Diceros bicornis minor: one gene and its partner. The protein of the gene in region 2 interacts with the protein of the main gene of each other region in a biochemical or structural test. Links are inferred from orthologs where the notes say so. Each region holds a gene or a part of one and is shown on either strand. Other genes may lie near its edges.

What was found. The genes of interacting proteins can lie anywhere in the genome.
Region 1: the proteins of ERBIN (region 2) and ARHGEF7 interact in a test that uses a peptide from one of them, tested with the Homo sapiens proteins (2 studies listed by BioGRID and IntAct). The link is inferred for Diceros bicornis minor from reciprocal best matches to the Homo sapiens genes ERBIN and ARHGEF7.

Annotation. Positions count from the first base shown.
Region 1 is NC_080748.1:85,188,745-85,198,687, forward strand, and holds the start of ARHGEF7 (rho guanine nucleotide exchange factor 7), read left to right. Parts: upstream 1-5,759; 5' UTR 5,760-5,801; coding exon 5,802-5,966; intron 5,967-9,943. UniProt on the Homo sapiens protein: Acts as a RAC1 guanine nucleotide exchange factor (GEF) and can induce membrane ruffling. Functions in cell migration, attachment and cell spreading. Promotes targeting of RAC1 to focal adhesions. May function as a positive regulator of apoptosis.
Region 2 is NC_080759.1:11,088,965-11,098,616, forward strand, and holds the start of ERBIN (erbin), read right to left. Parts: upstream 4,288-9,652; 5' UTR 3,642-4,287; intron 1-3,641. UniProt on the Homo sapiens protein: Acts as an adapter for the receptor ERBB2, in epithelia. By binding the unphosphorylated 'Tyr-1248' of receptor ERBB2, it may contribute to stabilize this unphosphorylated state.

The DNA of each region.
Region 1 (9,943 bases), on a different chromosome or scaffold from region 2:
GCATTCTCTCTTACTTGGGGGAGGGTTGGCATTTTTGTTCTATTCAGGCCTTCTACGGATTGGGTGAGGCCCACCCACATTGAGGAGAACAATCTGCTTTACTCAGCCTACTGATTCAAATGTTAATCTCATCCAAAAACACCCTCACAGACACACCCAAAATAATGTTGACCAAATATCTGGGCCTCCCGTGGCCCACTCCAGTTTACACATAAAATGAACCGTCACAGATGTTATTGCTGGTGCTACATGAAGTGGTAACAACCCCCACTCTGTACCTCACGATGATTACAACTCTCACCTGTGCTGCATGGAATACAGAGCAGGTGCAAGGGAAGCATCGGCTTATGAAGTAACTCTAGCGTCCGAAGGAGACGGGGGCAGGGGCAGTGATAAGGACTGGGGAATCGGCTGACTTTTCTTAACTGCCCTAGAAGCCTTGAAGAAAGAGAATGAAAGGTCCAGGGAGCCGACAGGTGAAGGCCCTGTGAGAGGCAGAGGCCTCTGTGGCAGCACGGGAGAGACCTCCGTCCCCTGAAGCAAGAGGGCCCAGAGTTGGTTGTCAACGTGGCTGGTCTGCAGGGCAGCTGAGCCCGGCACCCAGGCAGGCCTCTGCCCAGGCTGAGTCCAGGGCTGGGCTGCGGGGAGAGAGTCCCTGAGACCTGGAAGGGGGCACTGGGTGGAGGTTTCGAGAAACTGGGATTTCTGATTCCCTGACAGATTAGCTAGAGAAGCACAGCTTTCCATGGCCTGGGGACCACGACAGGCTGTGCTGGGCTAAAAGACACGATGCTCAAGGGCTCCTCATGCTGTGCCCCGTCTCCCCTCACTGCCTCTGGACCAGCAACCGGCCAAGTTCCGCAGACCCGGCGGGGGCAGTCCCAGAGCAGCCAGAGGAGGAACGGCTTGTTCATCAGAATCCCCCTCTGTGTTCAAGAATGGGTTTGCTGGACGAGGGTGGGAGGGGCGCACGTACGGCTGGATGGGAGGGTCTGGGATGTGATGGTGCTCCCATCTCAGGATTAACATCTTGGTGCGCAGAGCCGGCCCTTAGTCTGTGCAGGGATAGCTCCTCAGGCTGGGCAGCCTGGGCAGAGTGGGGAGGAAGGGAGGTGGGAGGGTTGGAATGGACACCAGCTGGAGACCTGGAGACACTCCTTTCTCTAAAGCAGCTAGAATGCCCCGACGAGGGGCATCAACGTCACTAAGAGGACGTTCTGACAGGCAGTGGCCGGGAGGGGCGCCAAGTGACCAGGTGGAGCTAGCATAGCAGCCATCCAGCCCACAGGGATAGGTGCATTTGGGACGTGGCATGAGCAGGTCCCGAGGCACAGTAAGCTACTGACACAAATGACCCAGTCCTCCAAGTCCCCTGCCCCCGCTGGCTGGACTCCCAACATTCCTCAGCTCACACCTGCGACATCGCGGAACGTTTACTATGACCAGCTGGTAGAGAGAGAACGGGCCTGCTTTACGAATGGGTCTGGTTGATAATTTAGTATGAACCGAAAACGGACTGCTGCCACATGACAGCCCAACTCTGGGGCGGGATAAAGGACCGCGGTGAGGACTGCTGGCAGAGCTTTGAGCCTTTCATGGTCATCTCCTTTGCGCTCAGACGCTTGGACAGGGTGGGTGGCTGGCTCCTCGTCTGGGTGCCCGGAAGGGGCAAGGTGGGACGAGTGGTGGCAAGGAGGTGGGGAGGGGTCTGTGGAGGGACCTGTGGGCGCAGACACAGGCCTGTGGGTCTTGAGCCCCATGTCCATCCCCAGAGAGCATCACTGAGGCAGAGGCGCTCAGCAACCAGGCGCAGAGATGGTGTCTGTAGCCGAGGGCAGCCAGCCTAGGCTTTGCCTGCCACTCCAGTGCCCTGCACAACAGGCCATGGACAGCACAGTCCTGATGGCAGGGATGGAGGTGTCCAAGAGATGGAGGGGAGCAGGAGCTACAGCTACCGACTTCGCTACCCACAGCAGAGAATGATTCTGCCCGCTGATGTGGTAACACCAGCCACTTGGCGGCAAGTCGATCACACCCAAGTCCTGCAGTCCTGGAGGGAGAGGCGATTCCTCTCACTGGATGGATACATGCAGAGGCCAGGGAGGGGGTGACTTCCCGCAGGGTTAGGGACTGTCCTTCAAGACAGCATATACGTTGAACCAGTGGCTGTTATATGGTGTCGTTCCCCTGGTAGCTACAAGGCAGCATCCAGGCAGCAACGGGGAGAAAGAGCATTGGCCCCCTTACCATCTCTCCCAGGGGTCCACGTGGGGGATCTCCTGCTCTCTCGACTTTAGGCTCTGCTGAATTAGAGGTCATTGCCCCTGGAGGAGACCCTCAACCACAGGAGACGGGAGTCAGGGGATAACTCTTAGCCTGTTGGTCCTCCGGTTAGAAGACACTGAGACCTGTTCCTCTTTGCTTCTCCAGGCTCCCTGGGGGAACAGAGCCCCTTCTCCCCCTGGTCTCTGGGGGAATGGGGCGCACTTACACATCTTTGATTCACTTTTTTCCCTCCTCCCCGTTCACTTTCTCCCTTTCTTCGTTTATCCTTCCCGGGATGGCTTCCAGAATAAACTACTTGCACCCAAGTTGTTGGCTCAGGATCTGCTTCTGGGGGAACCTAAACTAGGGTAAGTGTCTCAGTGACATTATGTTTCATAATATACTATATTGGTAAAGTGTCTTCCGATCTTGAGTAATTTTTCAGCCATACATGTTTATTAACTATTTTTTTCCTGCCCTGCATCTTTAATTTTTAGCAGTTGACCATATTTATGCCAAATAAATAGGACCCTGATAAAATGAGTGTCTTTGATAACACACAGTAGATACAATGAGCTTCATAGAACTGCTTCTTACAGCATTTTTCAATCTAGATCATAGTCCAGTCAATAAAAGCAATTCTACAGGGAGAGATTGCTACGCACTGCTAGGTAAATAGCCATCTGCCTGCCTGGCTTCAGGTTGGGGTAGATTTCAACGTTTTTGTAACACCATCCCCAAGCACCAATAAGCTGACAAATAGAGTCAGCACAGTTCGGCTGAGCTTTGGGTGACTACTGGTTTGTGGCCGTTTGTGGGTGCACCGCAATGACGACTGGGAGGTGGCTCTCAGGCATTACCAGGCAGCCGAGCTGGGCGTGAAGCTGAGGTCCTCTCGTGAGATGTCAGGGAACTGAAGGGCACATGCTCTTCAGAGGTGGGTCAAAGGGCATCCACAGGCAGGGCCCAAGTCTTCCGCCAACAACAATCCTAACTGGCTCCAACCAACAGAACAACGAGTTCTCCTCTGTAGCACACGTCCTCTGTAATAGGAACTTGGAAAAATGTTAAGTGTAACCAAATGCCCACCTTGGATGCTAAAACAGCTCAGTTAAACACCAAAAAACACCTAGTTTTGAACAACGTTACTTTCTAGAATCCCTTACAAATAAACTTTTCTGAAATTAATCTACATCCGAGGTAAAAGAATGCCACTAATAGCTCTGAAGCATTTAAACGCCCAGGGACTTCTGAGACCAGTTCTGGCAGGTGGCCCGTGGGTCTCCCTTCTGACAGTAATTGGCGCCAGGTTCACTGGTGACCTAAGGCCACGCCCCAGAGTTGCCTTTCTGTACCACCATTTGATTGAGTCAAGTTGAATCTTACCCTTGTTTACCAGATTACAAGCACCAGATCTAACGTAATGGAATCTGAAATGACTGTACTCTAAATTACGTCTCCAAATGAGCAGTACTAAGAGTAAACAGGCATCTCTCAAGAGTGGAGAACTACTCAGGTCAACACCCTTCCACTGATAGAGTCTTTCGGCACAAAATTTGATGGAGCTGTTAATTGCCGTTTCCTAAAAGTCGTGTAGGGAAGTGGTCTAGAAAACATGTGCGGTGTGTGGGTCCTGGAGGCTCAGAGCCCAGGTTTGAGGCCATCTCCACCACTCGTTGGATGTGTGACCAGTAAAATGGGGACAATGAGAGAAACTCCACAAGGCTGTAGTAACGATGGTGTGACATAATGTGGGGGGGGGGTGGCGGGGGAGCACTGGGCAGAGACACAGGGAGCTCAGGAAGTGGCGGCTGTGACCACCGAGTAGGGGGCCCTCAAAATCCAGAATTCATACTGCTCTTTGAATTACTTTGTGTTTGCATTTGGAAAGAAAATTTAACGCTAACTCCAAGCTGGAAATAAATGCAATAACGATTGCAATGGAAGTACTCCGGAAGAAGGCAGAGGAAGAGGAGAGTTAAGCCTCTGTTTTTAAAAGTCTTTCTAGCCTTTGTCACTAACTGGGTTGCTATATGTGTCTGGCACACAGTAAGCTCTCTGTAGGTGACCGTTAATACCGTCTGAAGCTGCCATGGGCAGTCCTAGCAAGCAAGTGGGGAAGGCACTCCTGGACTGTGGATGGAGTAAATGGAAATACATGGACACCTTCACACCTGCTTCTTTCAAGAAGAGGCTCTTCTCCTTCGTTAGCCTTTACATGTGTCAATGTCATTCGTTGTTTGAAGAAGCAAGTTCCTTAAGTGACAGTTGGAGGGCTGAGTTCTTCAGGTTTGGCCCGAGTGCCTTCAAAGCCTTGTCTGCAACAGAGCATCTCTTGTCCAAGTGGGATCTGGCCAAACGGCCTGTTTGGACTGAGCTGTTCTCAGTCCTTGTTTCCCTATCATCTGCACAGACCCAGGTCAGCCTCTGCTCTTTTCTTGACCTTCCTCCCATAGTGTTAGAAACGTCACCAGCAACTTAAAACAGAGTCGCTCCAAGGTTTCTGGTCCTGGAGAGGGGCCAGCCGCGTCCCTGCCGCTGAGGTCACAGGCCTCCCAGCAGGGGGCACGCATGACACCGGCCGCACCGCGCTCTGGGGCCTCCATATCCCCAAGGATCGCAGCAGCGCCCAGAAAATCAATTCTTCCCTGAATTAGACCCATCTGGTTACAGATTTAATTATCATTTGTGTTCTGTAATTATTGGCTTGCAAGGTAGGGGGAGAGAAGCAAACATCTCGTTTTCAGCAACCCCCCAACCTCTTGAAATGAAACTGGCAAAAATAAAAAGAGCATTCTGGGAAGCATTTAATAATTTAAACATTCATGAATTGAGACTATAAATAAAGGGTTCCGAGTCCTCCGAGAGGGGAGAGGACAGCGGAAGGGAGAGGACAGCGAAAGGAGCCTGGCCGGGCTCTCGCCTCCGGAGGGGGCTGCGCGTGGGCTCCGCGGGGCGCAAACGGTTAAGAGCGCACGCGCCCCGCGGGTTGGGAGGCCCGGCCAGCCCTCCCCGGCCCGCGGGCTGTCGCCTTCTGGAGGTCACCGGGCCCTTGGGGCGGGGGCCCACAGCCGGCCTCGCAGGTGGGGGCGCGCGCACGGCGGGGGCGCATGGCGCGGGGCCCGGGTGTGGAGGGCGCACGGCGGGGGCGCACGGCGGCCGCCCGAGCGCGGGGGTGCTGGCGGCCGGGGGGCCCGGCGCGGGGCCGCTCAGCGCGGCGTCTTTTCTTCTCCTGGCAGTGATGTCATCGGCGGCAGCGGCTGGGAGCCGGGAGGCGGCGGCGGGGGCGGCGCCGGGCGGCCGCCGCAGGTTCATGTGCATGTAATGAAAAGGCACTTGACAGTCGGCCAGGACGCACGCGAGGGAGCGCGAGCCGGCCGGACCGCGGCGCCGCCCGAGCCAATCGCCGTCGCCGGCCTCTCCATGGGCGAGCAGGAGGAGGGGGCGGGGGGCGCAGCGGGCCTGGCCGCGGCCGCTCCGAGGTGAACGGCGCCGAGACCGGCTCGCGGCGCGGGGAGGCCGGGCGCGCCGCCGCTATGAATTCCGCCGAGCAGACCGTTACGTGGCTCATTACCTTGGGGGTGCTGGAGTCGCCCAAGAAAACCATCTCGGACCCGGAGGGCTTCCTGCAGGCGTCTCTGAAGGATGGGGTGGTCCTCTGCAGGCTGCTGGAGCGCCTGCTGCCCGGGACCATCGAGAAAGTGAGTGCCCCCCGCCCCGAGCCCCCACGGCGGACAGGCCCGCACGGCGGACAGGCCCAGGGCAGCGGGAGCCCTGGCGGGGGGAGGCCCGGGGCGCGCGGAGACGCGCGGGCGCGGGGTTGCTGGCGCTCGCACCTGGTGGCTGCGCGGGCCGGGGAGCGCGGGGCGCCGAGGAGCCCACGCGCCTCCTTTGTGCGCGGACCCGGGAGCGCGGGCCGCGCGGGGGGCGCGCCAGCGGCGCGAGAACCCGGTGGCGGGAGCTCGGGGCGCCATTGTGTGCGGTGCCGGCTGGGGAGGGGGCCGGGGCCGCGTTCAAGAGGAGCGCCCCCCGGGAGGTCCGGAGGGAAGGGGAGCGCTCTGCTCTGCCCCGCCCGAAGGTGGAGTCGTCCCTCTCGGTGACCCCAGCAGAAAACCGTGCTCCAGCACTGCGCACAGCTCGTCCGAGGGCTTTGTTTGAACAGCTTTTGTTGCTGGTATTGTATGAGAGTTTCACCCTCTGTTTAATTGACCAATTGCTATGCATTTTTTAAAGCTGCATTCATCGATAGCTGAGGGCTGGGTTGTGAAACGATTTTCCGCCCTCTCCACGAAAGAATTCTTCCCGTCTGCGCGCCAGAGGATGGCAGACACGGGGTTGGAAAGCCCTGGCATTCTTCAAGGCTGGCTTAAAATCCTAGATTTCATTTTCAGGTTCATACCTGAATTTGAGCGGAACCCCTAGTCCTACAGACTCTGCTCCTCTTCTTCATGACGGGCAGTTTCCGGGGCTGGAGTGTGAACCTTGACCCGCATCTCCGTGAGTGACTAAAGTTTGCGTTCCTCTCCACGGCTGACGAAGCAGTGCAGGGGACGGAACGCTTTTAAAAACGGTGTATGCCTGTATGTCAAAAACACTGCAATCTTGTCCCATTTTTTTTTTTTGCCAATACATAATCTTAAGATCAACAATTACTTACAAGGTGTTAAATGGAGAAATTGAAGTACACTAATTAGGAAAAACTATTTCATTTTTTAAATGGAGTTGTCTTGACCCCTACGCACAATAACAATTTGCTAATAATGCTAATTAGGTGACTTGAAAAAGTAAAATGTTTAATCTTATTCATAAGTTTGTGCATGTTCTGGAGCTACATTTTAAAGGTCAGAAAAGATTCTATTTAATATGAATTTTACATGCATACTAGTTTTAAGTATTTTCCTTACGTGAAACATATTTATGAGAATAGAATCTGCATTTTAGAGTGAATAGCTGCCTGCCTGTCCAGGAAATAAAATTGTTGGTGTAAATGAACCTGATGTCACAATAAAATTATGATTTAGGACAGGAATAAGGAGCAGGATCTGACTTTCAAGGTACTCAAAATACTTTGTTGTCATCTGGATATCAGGTATCCTCTGATAATAAAAGACAGATGCTGAAAAGCGTTGAAAATGCATGCTAAGTTTACCAAAATAGGCTTATATAAAATACTCGTCCATTTCCAAGAGGGAAGCTTTAAGAAACTTCATGTGCCGTCTGGATAAAAACATGTTGCTCTCAGTGCATACGTTACTTGGTATATTAACTGCATTCATATTGATTGGCAGACTTCAAAAATCATTTTCTTTTGCATTCTAGAAAGATTTTCTTAGAAAACTGTAGCATTCCTTTCATCTCTAAAACAACATAGAGAGGAATGAATAAAATGTTTAGCTTGAGGAAGCCAAATTGAAACAACCCAGCATATTCTGAAAGCTGGTCAGTTGGAGATTTTTACATTGTGACCGTCTCGTTAGTCCCCCCAGGCCCCGCTGGTCTGCTTTAGACGGACACAATCACAGTGCAAGTTTAACAGCAAAGTAGCAAATTATAGACAGAGCTACTTATTCTCTGTGGTTCAAAGGTAGATTTTTGGAGTAAAATATTAGCCAATCTCTGCCTCTAAAACCCTGGGTTTCAGAAGTTTTGTGAGCTTTTCCATTTCCTGAGAACAGTTATTTATTTGAGCTTTATGATATTTGAACGCACACAAATAATATATGTGACAAAGCATGCAGGCTGAACAGCTGTAACTCGCATGTGGGAATGTTCGTCTGAGGATGTTTTTCCTTAAAAAGGAACATTTGGAAACTTAACTGAATATTCATCTGGAATTGAGGATCTTGACTTTACCCCAGTTTGCTACATGAACACATGACGACTGGCAAACACAGCTGCAACTTCACATTTGCAAATTCACAGTTTAAGATGAACCATTACACTAGGGATAGTGCAGAATTAGGAAAAGGTTAGTGGTGGCTCAGGTTCCCAGATGCCTTTTATTAAGAAAACATTCCTAATATGTTTCTTGCGTTGTGTTCATTTGTTCTGTTTTAGAGCCAGTAGAGGGTGGAGAGCTGAGAGGACATTCATTTCCGTTCAGATTGTTCTCATTTTAAAGAGGTTTTCTGCCCAGGACCTCCTTTGTGCGGTCTGCCTTTCTGTAGGCGGAAGGTGAGGCAGGGACAAGAGGGGATTATGAACTCTGTGTGAGCAGTTTGGAAGAGAGACACTTTTTTTTTTTTTTACTGGCCAGTGAGGCACTGTCTTTTTTTTTTCTTTTTGGGGAAGGTTGGCCCTGCGCTAACATCTGTTGCCAATCTTCCTCTTTTTCTTTTTTCTCCCCAAAGCCCCAGTACATAGTTGTGTATCATAGTTGTAGAGTTGTAGCTCTTCTGTATGGGACGCTGCCTCAACATGGCTTGATGAGCGGGGAGTAGGTCCGCACCCAGGATCCGAACCAGCGCGACCCCCTGGCCGCTGAAGTGGAACACACGAACTTAACCACTATGCCACCGGGCTGGCCCCTAGAGACACGTTTTGTTATTGCCAGTGATGTGTTCTCTGGCAGAGGGGAGAGAAGAGTGGGGATTACAAGGTTTCCCAAATCTTCGTGTCTGAGATCTTACACTTCGATTTTTCCAGTAATGGCCAGGATGTCTTGCTGACCCACCCACACTATTTGCTTCCCTCGTTCCTCCTGTGATGGGAAACGCACCAAGGCCGCAGAATCAGGGAGCCCTGTTGGCACTGAGCTCATGACTTAATGCGGTAAACATCCCTACATTATTTAGTCAAAGGGGGTGAAATCAAGTGAGAGAACTTTTAGAGGATGGAACAGGACTCTGAGATTAATAAAACATTAAAATAATGGAAGTCCTGAAATGCTGCTTAACTTTTACTTGTAAATGCAGCAGCTGCAGCTGGTCGATTCACCAAGAAAAACTCAAGGAGCCTGGTTCTTTCTCCCTACACCCAGGAAAACAGAACACACAGTAATCCGTCAAGTGCTGCCCAGAAGACACTCCATCCATCAATATTTGCGGAATGCAACTGAAAGTCAGATGCTACCCTTCTGGTCTTGCTACAGGTCCTGGGTGTACGTGTGTGCACGCGTTTAAACTGGTTTAAGCTGTTGGGCTGTGTGTTAGTGTCCTGGGGCTGCCGTAACAAAGTATTGCATGCTGGGGGCCTAAACAACAGAACTTGGTTCTCGCACAGTCCTGGAGGCAGCAGTCAGGGATGGAGGTGTAGGCAGGGCCGTCCCCTCTGCAGGCGCTGGGGGAGGATCTGTCTAGGCCTCTCCAAGGCTCCCGGTGGTTCCTTGACTTGTGGCAGCACAACTCCAGTCTTCCATGGCGTTCTCCCTGTGGTCTCTTCCCTGTGTCCAAACCTCCCCTTTTATAGGGATGCCAGTCATTGCATTAGGGCCACCCTACCCCAGTAGGACCTCAGCTTTACTAATTACATCTGCAACGACCTTGTTTCCAAATAAGGTCACATTCTGAGGTTCTGGGGGTTAAGGCTTCATCGGATGAATTTTGGTGGACACAATCCAGCCAAATCAATTTATTAAGTACTTATCTGCCTGCAGGGTGCTAGGGGCTATGGGAGGTAAAAAGACTAACTAACAGGCTTTTCAGGGTTTTAGTACAGGAGAAAACAGAACTAAAACCCA
Region 2 (9,652 bases):
ATGAAGAAAATACGGGAAGTACAGTAATAAAAGGAACCTAAAGGTATTAGAAGAAAAAGCTGAATAATAGCTAGATTTCTTTTTTACAATTAGAAAACCTAGGACAGAGGAGAAAGCTAAAAGGTAAATCTGAAAAATGGGCGTAGTATGGTTCCAGGGTTAGTGATGACAGGCACCAAGAAAGAAACAAAAAACAAATAATGTGGAGTAAATCAAAGAAAAGTGGAAGGCAGAAATGCTAAGCTTATTTCCTTAGAAAACTCAAAAGTAGGTATTATAGAGCATAATTCACGTATATATTTTCTAAGGCAGAGAAAACAGTGTGCATTCAAAAACGCAATGATCTATTGTGAACAGCTACACAGGTACAATACACGATACCAGGAAAGGAAAAGAGAAAGACATCTTTAGGACTTTATAATATAGGCATTCCCAGAAAAAACAAAGCATGTAACAGAGAAATGGATGAGCAAGGGTAAGAGTCAAAATAAAAACGCAAGCAACAAAGTGTGTTTAAAGAGAATTTAGATAAGTAGCAATTACAGAAAAGCAAATTACTTTGCTATCCAACATGACTAAAATTCTGCATAATCCCAAATACTTTGTAAACACTGCTATAATCTACTTCTAAATCAAAAACAGCTTAAACTCTAAATCATGTTATCTATAAGCAATTATTTAAAACAAATGCCAGGGCCAGCCCCGTGGCTTAGTGGTTAAGTGCGTGTGCTCCGCTGCTGGCGGCCCAGGTTCGGATCCCGGGCGTGCACGGACGCACCGCTTCTCTGGCCATGCTGAGGCCACGTCCCACACACAGCAACTAGAAGGATGTGCAGCTATGACACACAACTATCTACTGGGGCTTTGGGGGAAAAAATAAATAAAATAAAAATTAAAAAAAAATAAAATAAATGCCTAAGTATGCCCCTAATTTTCTGAAATTTTAAAGTGTGTTTACCGAAGTAAGGTATTGTGTACTACCAAGAGCTCAATACCAATACAGGCATGAGTCGCTTAACGACAGGATACATTCTGAGAAATGATTCATTAGTCAATTTTGTCATTGTGCGAACATCAGAGTGTATTTACACAAGATGGTATATAGTCTACTATACACCTAGACTACATGGTACTGATCTTATGGGACCACTGTCATATATGTTGTCCATCATTGAGTGAAGTCGTCATGGAATGCACAACTGTATCTCTAAAATAACTGAATTTTAGAGATGTACCAATGTGGTACATGTAAAACGTCTGTATAGCTATCACTTCATTAAGAAACAACATGCAATAAAAATTTGGTTTCCATATTTGAACCTTGGTAAGCTTTTCAGATGTGAAAAGTTTGCAATAGCTTGTTCTCAAACAGCAGGCTGACTTCATAACGTAATATCTGAATTAATTAGTTAAGAATCAAGTTTATCACTATTGAAAACTCCTAAGTACCTTCAATAAACAGTAGCATTAGATGTGCATTTGTGCAATATAAGCAAACACTTTGAAGTACTCTATATTTGCCAATCTAATCTAAGAAAACCCACACAATACTAAGAAGAATATACAAAATTTGAAGCCATTTAAAAATATTTTAACTGATTATTGTTTTTTTAACTTCTTTTCAAACCACTGTCACATTTTAAACAAGGCTTTAAAAATATTTATAGTTTGACAATAGTATAAAGCCTAAAATTCATGAAGTTAATTCAGTGCTAAACTAACAAAAATTGTAAGTAAACCACAAAGTAAATTTTGCCTTGTGGAGGGGAAAAAAGGAATCAAAGACAACTACAAAGGTGAACATCTCACTTTTAAAAACGTGTGGTCTACATCTAAACATACTATTGCTCCCTAAAGAAAAACAACGATCAAGAACTATATCTAAAAACAGGAATTTAAGAAGTTATTTTCAAATGCTACAATATTTCTTACACATAAAATTTACTAATGCAGAGAAATATCTGCTCAAAATGATAATTCTCTATAAAAGACTTGTTCTGTTAAGGCTTTGTTGCTCTGAGGCCAAGTATAAGCCATATAAGGGAACTGAAGTTCAGTGCCATTTATTTTGTTCCGCTCTTTCAGATGCCCAAGAATAACCTCCTTCGCTGCCTAATGATACGTTCCAAAATCAAAAAGTAGATCAGTTATTTACTTTAAATTCCTTGATAAAGCAGCTTTGACTTAACAGGAATTACCTGATGGTTCACAAATCTTACCAACGAATTTTTTTTTAAAAAAAAAAAGGATCTCCAGAGACTAGGCTCTGGGGAAAATATCAAAACAATATATAGTAATAAATAGTTAAAAGAGTCTCATTTTGAAATATACTTAATAAAGTAACAAAAACCAAGTTGTGAAATAATTTGATCTCTTTAAAACCTACCTTTTCTCTTCTTTGGACTAAAGAAAGCCAACTATTTTTCTTGGGGTAGCATGGGCAAACTAAACATCAATTTATATTTTAGATATACCTACAATGGAACACCATATTTATCTAATATTTATGCAAAAGCACAGTATTGTCTTTCACCTCCCTTTACCAGAAAAGTACTGGAAAAACAAAAAAACTTAAAAAAGATACACACTAAAAGGCCACTGAAGAAACCGTTTTGTGTTTGCTGCGACCAAAACTAGTTTGATCTATAAAGACTACCGATTGGTTCAGTAGTGTTTATAACTCTGCCTGGTGGAATGTCTCTCACGCATCACTAATCCCTGCCTCTACATCAGGTACCTATCACTTATTAGGCAGAACCAGCCAAAACATTTGGGCCAACACAAAAATGTAAATACTGTACTATTCAAAAAGCACAGCTCTTTATCACAATGTGATTTCCAAGAAAATCGTTTGAAGCATTTTACTTCCTTTCCTATATATTCTGATCTGAACTGCAGAGACGTCCTAACAAATCAAACGACTTATAGCTGTTTTTTGTTTTTTAATTGTAACTATCCACAACACTTACGCTCTCCTTCTTCCTACTAGGTCAGCTACAAAAAACTCTAGCAGACCCTTGCTTTCAATTAATTAACCATACAAGTATTATAAGGTTCTAAGCGTCTGAAAGGAACAAGTTACTGAAGAAATATATTACCCACCTAGAAAAATGACTCAGAATGGCAAAGGTTTTTGTTTATAAATTCAACGAAATATATTTCTAAGTGTTGGAACTACAAAATCTCTATATACGACTGAACGCAAAAGCCTAATAAATGGGTAACAGTATAAACAAATGTGGCAGCCATCTCAACAACAGCAAACCACTCGCTGCAGCGACCTTTCTTCTAAAACCAAAGTTGCCGGTTCAGCAACTTAACAAATAAAAAATATACACTGTATATGTTCCGGGAAACTAAAACTTCTGGACCTTGCGCTGAACAAAGGCATTCTTTCTTCAGATTGCTTAAAACTTTTCATCCCACCGCATTCTTTCAACCTCTTCTAAAATAACCAGAGTCCTGATGGTAGAAGGGGGAAAACAAATCAGTTCTACCATTTAGCACCTAAAACACTATCCCGTTCGACATGAGCAAAGGTGAATTCAGGGACACTTGGGAAAAAGTGAAACACACTCAACTATCCTCTCTTTCCTGGCCCAGGAGCTTTGTGACTTCTAGACACTTTTCGTGGAAATTACCTTTCGGTCGGGCAGTGTCTCAGGGCAGCTTTTTCAACGCTTCGCCTGACATGATTTCCTTCCCTTCATTAGTCACTTCGGATCCAGCCGAATTTCTCTCTCCGGTAAGAGCGGATGTGGAGCGGCCTCCCGCAAGAGGAAGAGTAGGTTGCTTTGGTGGGGGCTGGGAAGCGGGCTGGTTTCCTGGTCTCGAGTTTTGCAGGAGTTTCCCAGCCCCAACTAAGATCTCCGCCGAAAAAAAAACTTTTCACTCGTGACACCGCCCGGAATTACCGTGCGAAACTCACTTCCTGCCCTGGCGAGAAGCAGGATCCAGCTCGGTCCAGGGCAACCCGGAAAACCAGCTCCGCGCGCTGGAGGGGGAGGGGACGGGAGGGGAGGGGGCGCCGGCGGAGCCTCGGGCTCCGGGAGGCCGGCGCGCCCCGCACGCCCGACGGCGGCGGAACCCGGCCGGCGGGCGCGAAGACGCGGCCGCGCGCTGGGCGAGCCTCGGCCGCGCTAGGCCGCCACCGCCCCCCGAGCCGGGCAGCGCGGTTATTGTCTCGATAGCGCCTGCCGCGCCCTTCGCCCGCGCCGCCGCCGCCGCCGCCGCCGCCGCGGCCCCGAGCTGCAGCCGAGGGGCCGAACAGCCTCGAGGGCGGCCCCCTCCCCGGGCCGTCCGTCGGGCCGTCCGTCCTTCCGTCCGTCCCTCCCGCCTTCCCTACCCGCCCTCGACCCCTCTTCTGCTTCCTCTCCCGTTTTCCCGCCGCCGTCCCTTCGCTCCCCTCCTCGTTCTTCTTCCCCCTCCGGGCGGCGGAGGCTCCCCCGGGCAGCGCGGGGGGTGCGCGCCGGCGGCGGCTTCGTCTCCTCAGGAGCTCGCGGGGCCGCGGCAGGGGCCGAGGCTGCGTCCCGCGCCGCCGCGCCACATTCACTCGAGCGCGAGACGGAGAGGGGAGGGAGGGCGCGCAGAGAAAGGAGGAGGAAGGGGGCTGGGGCGGAGGGGAGGCACTGCCTCACAGGCCGCGGCGGCAACAGCGCCACCGCCCCGCCGGCGAGGGGGGAAGAGGCTGCGCGCGGCGGCTCCGCGGCGGGGGCGGGGCGGCCTCCCGCCGGCTTCACCCCCCCGCCCACAGCCGGGGGAGGCCGGCGCGAGCCAGTCACCGCGCACGGGGCGGCGCGGGCCGACGTCGGCGGCGCTGGGCCGGGGGCTGGCGGGAGGGGCCGGCGGCGGCCGGGGGCTCGCGTGCGAGGCGCGGCGTGAGGCCCGCTCCGGCCCAGGCCGGGGAAGGCCCGCCTGCCGCCCCCAGCCCACTCCCCAGCCGCCTAAGGTGGGCGCGCTGACGACGCTGACCCCGGCTGCCCCGCGCCCAGCCCGGTAGCGGGCCTCCGGCGCCCCGGCCGATTGAGTGTCTTTGTACGACAGTGATCGGCGCGAGGGGTTCAAGTCCAGCCCCGATTTTCAGGCTGCAGGTATCTCTTTCAACTGCAGCACTCCAACTTCCTCTAAAGGCACGCTCAGTTTGCAGGAAACCACAGCGGCAGCTCAGGGGAGCTTCCCACGCCGGCCCTTGCTCCGAGCCTGCTCGCACAGCAGCGCAGCTGGGGCTCCTCCAAGTCTCAGCCCCACACCGGCGGGGAGACAAAGCTGGCGCTGGGAGGGGGAAAAGGGCCCGCGAAATTGCCTCAAGGTGGTGCCTTTGTTAGAGGAAACATTGTATACGCTCCGAAAGCGACAGAGGCTTCCAACCCCAGCGGTTTCGGTGCACCAGTCGGTGAATTGCGCTGGCCCTAATCTATCAGCCTGGCAGGGTTTGCGTTTACTGCGGAGAGAGATTCTTAAGCATTCTGTCAACACGTGACATAGAACGCCTCAACCATAACATTGCACAGTTTGTGCAGTTACTGCTTTAAATATGTTGACAGACAAGACGGCCTTGTTTCACCCGGAGAAGGAACTTAATAGATACGGAACGAACCATTCCCCGCCCCCAGTCTGTGCTGTACTTAACCGTGTACAGTGATGGTAATTAGTCTCTGTGTCCCTGAAGTCACTGCTTCAGTTCTTCCGTCTGTGTTCCAGAGATAATTATTTATTAGCAAGTTTGAATAAAGAGCTGTATGCCCTACAGATGATTTTTGGCTTGCATCCAAAGGAAGGAGTTCGTGAAGTCCATCAAAGAATTATTTACCAAAGTGAGTTGTATGCTAGTGACAAACGCTTGAAACAACTCCAAAGATATTCAAGACGTTCTGTTAGGGGTAGGAGCGTTTTAACTACTTCCAGAACTGCTAGAATAAACACAGGTAGTTCCTTAGCTTAGAGCAGAAGTTGAAGGTTCACAGACACTACCAAAGTGGTCAGGCTTATTTAGTGCTGAACTGGAGGTAAGAGAACATTAAAGCAGGAAACAGCAGCCAGGTCTACTAGTAAGTATAAGCTATTTTTAATTGTCACAAGAAAGATTTCCTACTCCACTTTCGAAAACTGGTTTGAGTCTGACCAGACTCCTTGGTATAGCTCTGAACTGCAAGGGTCACTCTCCTAAAGCAGCCCAGCATGGAGTATCTCCCATACCAGCCAGAGGCCAGCTGTAGACCAGCTGGATTCTAGGATTCCAATGTCACATTTAGTCTCAGGTTGATTCAAGACCCGTTTAAATGTGACATCATAGAATCAAGTAAATGTAATGTCCCCACACCACCCGCAAACCTAAATAAATAGGACTAGACCAGTCCCTAGGCTAGAACCTGCCCTGGCCCTAGCCTTTATTTTGACTTAAACTCATACTGGGGACCAATCTGGCTGACTACCATTTAGGCTACAAAAGTCCCTATGACCAAAAACCCCTCCTCCAACTCGCCTAAATTTTGCCACTAGCATTTAATTCCTTTGAGTAGTTTATTTCTCTAGCATAATCCTGGGAAAGGTACTCTTTTAAGCCTTATTAGTCTTTTATACCTAATTCATCAGATTGTTTCCCCAAAGCAGCTTTTGATGGGAGGGAATATAGAGATAGCATATGCTGATGCTGAGAAGGTAGGAGTGGGAAATGTGATTTCATTCTTCGGGGGAATATATGGAGAGTAGAGAAGTATAGACAATAAAGTGCTCCCTATTCGACTGTTAAATAAGTCCTACTTACTCATACTGTAAGAATGAACCCCAAAACGCTGGCCTTAAGAGGATGGAAGCCAGGATACACTTACCAATATTACCTATTTTGACAAATGTTTCTTTAATAATCCTTCTGTAAAGTATCTTCAGCAGGGATTCTGCATCTGTGCTCATGCGAGGGTGAAATGACAACTATATGATCAGAGTATTCAACAATCAGAATAATGATTCATCTTTGTTATTCATTGCTGACTGCTTGGTTCTAACTCATATGAGCAGCACATACAGATATAGCCAAATCTTCCGTTTGTTCTTTTACAAGGCACTCGTGTTCCGTGCTTTACAAATTAGTTTCCTTTGAAAATCCTTCCACAGTTGAACTAAGATGGACTTAATGTTTCAATTATGATTAAAGGGAGAAGTAAAACCCCACTTTAAATGAGGCTGCCTAACTGTAATTCTGTAATGATTAATGAACTCCAGGACCACCTTAGAGAATAAGCTAAAAAATAGTTGTTGATAGTATAACTTGATATTCCCCATTGTGATTCTCTAAATAATTGTCCGTGAAAGACAGGGAATTCTTTCTTTGGGATTCTCCCTTCTCATGGCTGGGCTCAGGAAAGGAATTACTGTCTGCTAGAGATAAGCCACATATCTGAAGGAAAGCCTTAAGACCTTAAGCGTTCCAGGGAATGCACACAGCATCCATCAAAAAAAAGTGTCTCAACAGAGAGCCTATCCACTGTTTTAAAAAGGGTTCCCTGTCATTTCCCCATGCCAGCCAAGCAGCTGTGCGCAAGCATTTGTGACCAAGTTAGCAGAGGGCAAGGAAAAGTTTAGGGTGATCATTCTTTTCTCCCTTTCTCAACACCTAGTAAAGAATTGGTGACCTTGAACCAAAGCTTTTATCACAGTAGTATTTGAGAAAAATTAATCTTCAGGCTAGAATAGAGTTAGATTCAAAAAAAGTCTAGAAGCATTAGATCAATTAGATCAAAATGCATTATAACATATATTTTTAATAGGGATTGACTTCCCTATTTTCACTTCCATCTTAGCCCGTTGATAGTGAGGGCAGGAGGTTAGGGTGGCAAGTGTGTGGGAAACGGACATTTGGGCTCAAAAGAGGCAGTAACATGCAGGAACCAAAACTAAAGATTTTATAATACTTTGGGAATGGAAACATCCCTCCCATAGCATGTTTCTGCCTTTCAGACATATTTTCAGTAATATTTTATCAATCACAGGGAAGTCTCCCTCTATTTGTGAAAAGCTTTATGAAAAGTTTTGAAGTTTTTTTTCCCCTAGTATATCCTTGATAATCTTTTTTCCTATCCATACATTTCGTAGCCTATCCAAATTAAATTTCTTTCAGATGTCTTATGAACATTTTTAAAGTGTGGAGGAAATGAATAATGCGTGGTGATTATTTGTGTGACCTCTGAAACAAGACTGCTTGAATTAGAAACTTGGCTACTGAATGACCTTGGGCAAGTTCCTGAACATCTATAAACGTAAACTTGAGCTTCCTCATCTCCAGAACGGGGACTACAATACTAACTGCCTCATAGATTACTGGGAGGACCACATGGGACAGTGCTCACAAAGTGCTTAGCACAGTTTCTGGCAGACTCAAAAGTGTTAGCTGTTAGTAGTGATGCACTTTTAGATGCACTGATAACATGTAACATGCTTCCATCATTTCTAAGGTGACCGTATAGTGTATCATCCAGGCTAGAACACTTTTGAGAGTGAAAGCAGACATTTAATAATAATTACACAGGGACAACAAATGTAAAACCAGGACTGCGCTGAGCCAACAGGGGCAAATAGTCACCTTCATAGTTTCCAACTTTATCACCTTCTTCTGATCCACTTCCCCTCTCAAATTTTCCCTGGTGTGAATCATAATCTATTTCAATCATATTGCAATATGCACACTTCTCTCTAAATCTTAACAATATTAAATTAACAGCAACAACAAAAGATTAAATACTGTGGCTTAATGCTCCTTAATGCAGGCTTTCACTTAAGAATATTATCTTTCTTTGAGTAACAAAACTGCTGTTTTCCTACTCACTTAAGCTCACACTTAATAACTTTACATTTTTTTCTATAGTATTTTGTTTTAAAAAACTGTTTAGCATCAAATATGCCATAAAAATAGCGGATATGTAAGTATTAAGCATAATTTGAGGTGTAGCAAGAGGCTAAATGCCCTGCTCTAAAACGCCAACTATGTTACATAAAAACTTTTTTTAGTTAAGTAGCATATCACTCCTATTCCAAAGTAAGAGTGAGTCATCTCCATATTGTCGATGACAACCATATCATCATTAGATTACTGGATAAATCTCACCTAAATTTGGTTTAATCAGTATTTGGAAAATGATATTTCTCAATTGGATTTTCTAAAATAATTCTGGATATACTTTAACACTCATACATTCTTCTCTTGGAAAGAAATTTATTTTCTGGGAATTGACTGCAAATATCCTTCAAAAATGCTGATCTAGGGCCGGCGCCATGGCTTAGCGGTTAAGTGCGCGAGCTCTGCTGCTGGCGGCCAGGGTTTGGATCCCGGGCCCGCACCGATGCACCGCTTCTCTGGCCATGCTGAGATCGCGTCCCACATACAGCATCTAGAAGGATGTGCAGCTGTGACATGCAACTATCTACTGGGGCTTTGGGGGGAAAAAAATAAGTAAATAAAGTCTTAAAAAAAAAAATGCTGATCTAAACAAAAATATATTTTTAAATATTTCCTCTCTCTTCTGTTTTCCCTAGTCCAATCCCTTTGTTTTTATGCCATTAAATTAATGTCAACCATCAGATTAATCATTTGTATTTTAGTTTTCTTAGTTTTAAATTACTTTTAATTGTCTTGTTCTTTCAGTGTTCCTCTAAAACAGAT